2 linked regions of the Macaca fascicularis genome follow. Each later gene encodes a partner of the first gene's protein in a complex. Links are inferred from orthologs where the notes say so. Each region holds a gene or a part of one and is shown in the gene's direction. Other genes may lie near its edges.

Evidence for each region.
Region 2: the proteins of GIPR (region 1) and GIP are in contact, whole or in part, in a cryo-EM structure (PDB 7RA3), measured with the Homo sapiens proteins. The link is inferred for Macaca fascicularis from reciprocal best matches to the Homo sapiens genes GIPR and GIP. Residues at the interface, in NP_000155.1 of Homo sapiens: Gln30, Thr31, Ala32, Leu35, Tyr36, Trp39, Tyr68, Trp71, Leu88, Trp90, Arg101, Arg113, His115, Asn120, Gln130, Arg131, Leu134, Glu135, Leu137, Gln138, Tyr141, Tyr145, Arg183, Ile187, Arg190, Asp191, Pro197, Gly198, Pro199, Tyr200; in NP_004114.1 of Homo sapiens: Tyr52, Ala53, Glu54, Gly55, Thr56, Phe57, Ile58, Ser59, Asp60, Tyr61, Ser62, Ile63, Ala64, Met65, Asp66, Lys67, Ile68, His69, Gln70, Gln71, Phe73, Val74, Trp76, Leu77, Leu78, Lys81.

Annotation. Positions count from the first base shown.
Region 1 is NC_088393.1:53,738,259-53,742,068, forward strand, and holds part of GIPR (gastric inhibitory polypeptide receptor), read left to right. Parts: intron 1-919; coding exon 920-1,023; intron 1,024-2,152; coding exon 2,153-2,256; intron 2,257-2,756; coding exon 2,757-2,901; intron 2,902-3,810. UniProt on the Homo sapiens protein: This is a receptor for GIP. The activity of this receptor is mediated by G proteins which activate adenylyl cyclase.
Region 2 is NC_088390.1:57,758,887-57,762,650, forward strand, and holds the end of GIP (gastric inhibitory polypeptide), read left to right. Parts: intron 1-342; coding exon 343-435; intron 436-1,177; coding exon 1,178-1,279; intron 1,280-2,849; coding exon 2,850-2,859; 3' UTR 2,860-2,971; downstream 2,972-3,764. UniProt on the Homo sapiens protein: Potent stimulator of insulin secretion and relatively poor inhibitor of gastric acid secretion.

The DNA of each region.
Region 1 (3,810 bases):
TTCACCGTGGTCTCGATCTCCTGACCTCGTGATCTGCCCACCTCAGCCTCCCAAAGTGCTGGGATTACAGGCGTGAGCCACCGTGCCCGGCCCCTACTTTTTTCCTTTTTGAGACAGAGTCTGGGTCTGTCACCCATGTGGTGGCGGCATCATAGTTCACTGCAGCCTCGGAACTCCTGGGTTCAAGCGATCTTTCCGCCTCAGCCTCCCAAATAGCAGGGACTAGAGGCGCATGCTAACACATCCAGCTAATTTTTTTTTTTGGCAGTGACAGAGTCTTGCCATGTTACCCAGGCTGATCTTAAACTCCTGGCCTCAAGGGATCCTCTCACCTCAGTCTCCCAAAGCGCTGGGATTACAGGCCTATTTAACTTTTGTTGTTTTTGTTGTTTTGTTGTTGTTGTTGAGACGGAGTCTGGCTTTGTTGCAAGGCTGGAATGCAGTGGCGTGATCTCGGCTCACTGTAACCTCACCTCCCAGGTTCAACCAATCTCCTGCCTCAGCCTCCCAAGTAGCTGGGACTACAGGCGGGTGCTACTATGCCCAGCTAATTTTTGTATTTTTAGTAGAGACAGGGTTCCACCATGTTGGCCAGGATGGTCTCGATCTCTTGACCTCCTGATCTGCCCATCGCAGACTCCCAAAGTGCTGGGATTACAGGCGTGAGCCACCGTGCCCAGCCTTAACTTTTTGTATCTCAATTTTCCCATATGTAAAACTAGGTTAAGGATATTACCAATTCCATGGGCTTGTATGAATATTAAATTAATACATATAGCATGCCATATAAGGGTTTATCATCATCATCATCATGGTCACCACTTCTGCTCTCTCCCTCTCTGTTATTGTCTCACAGTTTGTCTTTCTGTATTTATCTCTTTCTCTGTGTGCCTTAATTCCCTCTCTTCTTTCCCCACAGTGGCTGCAGGTTTTGTCCTCCGCCAGTGTGGCAGTGATGGCCAATGGGGACTTTGGAGAGACCACACACAATGTGAGAACCCAGAGAAGAATGAGGCCTTTCTGGTAAGAAGAGGTGAGGGCTTCAGGTTAGGAGTCCAGGGAGAGAAGGAAAGGCAGTAGATTCAGGCAGGGCCTGAAATCCCTTGGACTATTCAGAGCTCTGGGTTGTAAGTGAGAGAAACTCAACTCAGACTTGCTTCAAAGAGCGAGACAGAAAGATGTATTGGCTTATGTGATGGAAAACAATAAGATGGCTGGGTGCTGTGGCTCATGCCTGTAATCCCAGCACTTTGGGAGGCCAAGGAGGGTGGATCACTTGAGGTCAGGAGTTTGCGACCAGCCTAGCCAACATGGCAAAACCCCGTGTCTACTAAAAATACAAAAATTAGCCGGGCGTGGTTGTGTGCACCTGTAGTCCCAGCTACTCAGGGGGCTGAGACATGAGAATTGCTGGAACCCAGGAGGCAGAGGTTGCAGTGAGCCAAGATCGTGCCACTGTACTCCAACCTGGGTGACAGAGTGAGACTCCATCTCAAAAAAATAAATAACTAAATAAAAGAATGCTCTAGTTGGGCTGAGCTCAGTGGCTCATGCCTGTAATTCCAACACTTTGAGAAGATGATTGCTTGAGCGCAGGATTTTGAGACCAGCCTGGGTTACATGGTGAAACTCCATCTCTACAAAAAATACAAAACTTTGGCCAGGAGCAGTGGCTCATGCCTGTAATCCCAGCACTTTGGGAGGCCGAGGTGGGCGGATCACGAGATCAAGAGATTGAGACCATTCTGGCCAATATGGTGAAACCCCGTCTCTATTAAAAATACAAAAATTAGCTGGGCATGTTGGTGCGCACCTGTAGTCCCAGCTACTCTGGAGTCTGGGGCGGGAGGATCGCTTGAGCCCTGGAGGGCGAGGCTGCAAGGAACCATGATCCTGCCAGAGTACTCCAGGGCAACAAAGCAAGACTATATCTCAAAAAAAAAAAAAAAAAAAAATTATCTGGTTGGCTGGTCACATGCCTCGTGCCCTGGAGCTGAAGGGTGGAGTCGGCCCTTCTCAAAAAAGGGTAAGCTGTTCCCCAAGAGAACATAGGGTATTTGGGCAGAAACAAAGAGCAGAGGTCCTTCCAGTCTCTCTCTGGGCCTGGGGCTTCGAGCCAAGCCTTGTTCCCTTCCCCTTCTCGCCCCCCCAGGACCAAAGGCTCATCTTGGAGCGGCTGCAGGTCATGTACACCGTCGGCTACTCCCTGTCTCTCGCCACACTGCTGCTAGCCCTGCTCATCTTGAGCTTGTTCAGGTGGGACTTGAACCCTGAGTGGTGGCGGCAGAGATGTGAGCTCGGCTTCAGTTTGTCCAGTAAGATGGGGTGGTCTGGTTCCACCAGCTCCAACCATCCACTGGTGGTTCTATGGGGAGCAGTGGGGGTGGTTAAAGGAGCTCTCTTTGGTGGCTGATGCCTGTAATCCCAGCTCTTTGGGAGGCCAAGGCACGAGGATCGCTTGAGTCCAGGAGTTTGAAATCTGGCTGGGCAACATAGTGAAACCTTGTCTCTGCGAAAAATAAAAAATTAGCTAGGCATGCTGGTGGTGCACCTGTGGTCCCAGCTATAGTGGGGCGCTGAGACAGGAGGATTGCTTGAGCTCGGGAGGTTGAGGCTGCAGTGAGCCCTGATTGTGCCACTGCATTCTAGCCTGGGTGACAGAGTGAGACCCTGTTTAAAAAAAAAAAAAAAATAGAGCTCTGTGTGGCTGAGGGCAGCTCTCCAGGGGCCCCCAAACTGCCTTCCAAATTCCCTAGGCGACTACATTGCACTAGAAACTATATCCACATCAACCTGTTCACGTCTTTCACACTGCGAGCGGCGGCGATTCTCAGCCGGGACCGTCTACTGCCTCGACCTGGCCCCTACCTTGGGGACCAGGCCCTTGTGCTGTGGAACCAGGTGGGCATCCTCCTTCCATTCCTCCAAATGGGAATCTTGCTTCTCTGGTGGGACCAGGAAGTTCTCAGTGCATTTCCTATCTCCTACACTCTCACAGTTTATCTGAGCTGGGAGGGTCCCTCTCCAAATGTGTCTTGGGGTGGGGGATCAAGACACATTTGGAGAGGGAACCTCCCAACTCGGCCTCATTGAACTCTCCCAGCCTATCACTCCCATATTGGAATTTTCCATTCCTCTCCCTCATTATCTCACCCATCATTGAACTTTTTCACCAATGAGAGAATCCACCTGCTGGAGGTGAGGCATGGCAGGATACAAGAAAGTAACTGGGGACTGGGATGTGGTAAGTGCCAGTTTGTTACTAGGAGAAAGGGTGGGAGAGGCTAGAGGCTGGGAGTAGACGTGGTGAGAACTATCTAGTCAAAAGTTGGACCATACCAATTGTTAAGAAGCCATAGTGGACGGGCGCGGTGGCTCACGCCTGTAATCCCAGCACTTTGGGAGCCGAGGCAGGTGGATCACCTGAGGTCGGGAGTTCAAGACCAACCTGACCAACATGGAGAAACCCTGTCTCTACTAAAAATACAAAATTAGCCAAGGTGGTGGCACATGCCTGTAATCACAGCTACTTGGAAGGCTGAGGCAACAGAATCGCTTGAACCTGGGATGCAGAGGTTGCGGTGAGCCGAGATCGCGCCATTGCACTCCAGCCTGGGCAAAAAGAGCGAAACTCTGTCTCAAAAAAAAAAAAAAAAAAAAAAAAAAAAAAAAAAAAAGCCATAGCACACACCCAGGCACAGTGGCTCACGTCTGTAATCCCAGCACTTTGGGAGGCCGAGGCGGGCAGATCACGAGGTCCGGAGTTCAAGATCAGCCTGGTCAATATGGTGAAACCCCATCTCTACTAAA
Region 2 (3,764 bases), on another chromosome or scaffold:
GTGAGCCGAGATGGTGCCCCTGCACTCCAGTCTGGGAAATACAGCCAGACCCTATCTCACACACACACACACACACACACACACACACACACACACACACACACACACAAAAGTGAAGAGAAGATGAACTGTCCTTATCCTTCTCCCTGCTCTATGCCGTCTCTGGTCAGCGTGGTAGATTCTGAAAAGCTGTTCACTGGTGGAGGCAGCTGAAGACCACCATTGGGTGGGCTTAAGTGGAGAAAGGTACCCTCTGCTTTTGGGGTTGAGGTACTAAAAGATTCAAGTGTCTCTAGCCTGGAGTCTCCACAGCTTGCCCACTCTCTAATCTTATCTTCCCAGCTGGAAACACAACATCACCCAGAGGGAGGCTCGGGCACTCGAGCTGGCCAGTCAAGCTAATAGGAAGGAGGAGGAGGCAGTGGAGCCACAGAGGTGAGTCAGGGCGCAGAGGGAAGGGAGGCAGCCGAGCCTCCTGCCCTGCCCCCACCTCGTTGCTCCCTCTCCCTGACCCCAGAGCAGAGCAAGGACCCGCGATAATCATCCTCTTCCTCTCAAGAGTTCAAAGAGGGGTCTTCATTGAGCAAACTCCTGGAGGTCAGCCCAAGCTTAAGGAAGAAGGCTTGGAGGAACAGGGGAGGGGTGCTAGGAGGGGTTTCAGGGACAGGGTTTCTAAGATTGATGACTTGATACACAGCAGAGTCACTGAGTCAGGAGAAGGGCAGGAAAGAAGAGACCTCAGGTTCCGGCCTCACCACCTCCCCCTGCCAAACTTCGGGAAGGCTGTTTGTGAAAGAGTGGGGGATCTTCCCAGGCCCACTCCCCTGAAATCAGTTATCCCCTCTCTGAATGGCACAGGTCATTTCAAAAAGTGAATGTGCCCAAAGTACTCTCTGCATGCTGGAACACTTGCAGAGGTGGATGGGCGGAATATCTCACACCAGAATTCTGTTTGACTCTCCCTGTAGGAAGAGTCCATATTCCCCAGGCAGGCAGTGCTGGGTGGGGCTGGCAGAAAGCAGGCTCCAGATCTCAGAGCTGAGCCAACAGAGAGGCAGCTGTGTTGGCTCCCTCCCCCAATCCGTGGCTGCCCCTCAGTGGTGTCCCCAGTCCTGTGTTTACTCTCTTTGGGCGCGGCTCAGGCTAAAACAGTCAGCCAGAGGCTCTTACCTTGCAGCTCCCCACCCAAGAACCCCAGCGATGAAGATTTGCTGCGGGACTTGCTGATTCAAGAGCTGTTGGCCTGCTTGGTGGATCAGACAAACCTCTGCAGGTGCAGGTAGGGGAATGTGGTGTTGCACAGCAGTTCTAAATTGAGCTTGGGCATCAGACATGGATTCAGATCTTTGCCCCTCCACATGCTGGCTGATTACGTAGCCTTTCTGAACCTCAGTGTTTTCATTAAAATCAGAGGTATAGAATCATTTCATGGGATGTTGTGAGCTTTAAGTAAGACAATGCAAGTGGAAAAATACAAAGAAAAAAACAAAAGAAAAATAAAGACAATTCAAATGGAGACCTGAGGGCCACCTTTGAGGAGTAATGAGAGCTCTGCAAGGTTAGCAGCTCTGATTACTATTTGTTCTTCCTCACTCTTCCAGGTGAGGTGCTGCTCTCCCCTGCCTATCCCTACCCACTGAGCTGAGCCCATCCTGTGCCCTGCCTGTTCCTACCCACTGAGCTGAGCCCATCCTGTGCCCTGCCTGTCCCTACCAACCGAGCTGAGCCCATCCTGTGCCCTGCCTGTCCCTACTGACCGAGCTGAGCCCATCCTGTGCCCTGCCTGTCCCCAATCCTACCCACCGAGCTGAGCCCCATCCTGTTCTCAGCTTTCCCTCTGTACCCTTGGGCCATGGTACCTTCCTGGTGATGGGAAACTGCATAGTTGGAGGCATGTTTCCTTTCTCTGTGGCCATTGGTGGCTTCAATGGTCTCTTGAATCCACCTCATCAGCTAGAAAATTCTTCAGTCCATTCCTTATGTCTCAGAATCGAGGGACTAAATATTATGAAGAGACCTGTCCTCCTAAAGGGTGAGACAGGATCCTCATGATGCAGACAGCGGGGCACGGAAACCAGAACACTTCAGACACTGATACTGAGCAGCTAGGGAGGCATTGAGGGAGCAAATCTGGAACAGGAACCTCAGGAGGGGAAGAAGGGACAGGAGCGTGAGCAGATCCATGAAGAGGGTGTGAGAAAATCTCTGTAGGAAGGTGGGTAACGGTCTCTGTACTTTTGTGAATTATTTGGATTACTTATCATTAAAATGGTGATTTGATGGGGCAAAGGTGGGAGCACTGCTTGAGGCCAGGAGTTCAAGACTGCAGTAATCTATGATTACATCCGTAAATAGTCACCGCACTCCAGCTTGGGCACCACAGTGAGACTGTCTCTTAAAAAATAAGTAAAATGAGGCTGAGCACGGTGGCTCATGCCTGTAATCCCAGCACTTTGGGAGGCCGAGGTGGGCAGATCACGAGGTCGGGAGATCAAGACCATCCTGGCTAACCTGGTGAAACCCCGTCTCTACTAAAAATACAAAAAATTAGCCGGGCATGGAGGTGGGAGCCTGTAGTCCCAGCTACTCGGGAGGCTGAGGCAGGAGAATGGCATGAACCCAGGGGGCAGAGCTTGCAGTGAGCCGAGATTGCGCCACTGCACTCCAGCCTGGGGGACAGCGAGGCTCCGTCTCAAAAAAAATAAAAAAAAGGTAAATTGATAAAAATTAAGATACTTAAAAAGGTGATTTGAAGGTAGGAGGGGTTCAACAATGGCTGGGTCCCAGGATAAACGTGCTTGGCCGACTCCAAGTCCATAACCTTCCTCTCCTTTCCCCACTCTCCCCAGGTCTCGGTGACTCTGACCACACCCAGCTCAGGACTGGATTCTGCCCTTCACTTAGCTCCTGCCTCAGCCCCACTCCAGAATAGCCAAGAGAAGCCAAACCAATAAAGTTTATGCTGAGATAAGTCGAGTGCATTGTGAAAATTTATTCAAATGACTACTGAGCACTAACAGGGCATGTTTGTCTTTGTGTATCTCTGTGTGTGTGGGCACCACCCAGTGGAAAGGAAATATGGTCTGGGCATGGTGGTGTATGCCTGTAATCCCAGTACTCTGGGAGGCTGAGTCTGGAGGATTGCTTAACCCCAGAAGTTCCAGTCCATCCTGGGTAACAGAGTGAGACTCCATCTTTGTTTTGTTTTGTTTTGTTTCTTTTTTTTGAGACGGAGTTCTCACTCTGTCATCCAGGCTGGAGTGCAATGGTGCAATCTCGGCTCACTGCAACCTCTGCCTCCTGGGTTCAAGCGATTCTCCTGCCTCAGCCTCCTGAGTAGCTGGGATTATAGGCGCCCTCCACCACGCGTGGCTAATTTTTTTTTCTCTTTTTTTTGAGATGGAGTCTTGCTCTTGTTACCCAGGCTAGATGGAGTGCAATGGTGAGCTCTCTGCTCATTGCAACCTCCGCCTCCCAGGTTCAATTGATTCTCTTGCCTCAGCCTCCCAAGTAGCTGGGATTACAGGCATGTGCCACCACACCGGGCTAATTTTTTATTTTCAGTAGGGTTTCTCCATGTTGGTCAGGCTGGTCTTGAACTCCTGACCTCAAGTGACCCACCCGCCTCCGCCTCCCAAAGTGCTGGGATTACAGGTGTAAGCCACCGCGTCCAGCCTAATTTTTGTAGTTTTAGTAGAGACGAGGTTTCGCCATGTTGCCAGGCTGGTCTTGAACTCCTGACCTCAGGTGATCCGCCTGCCTCG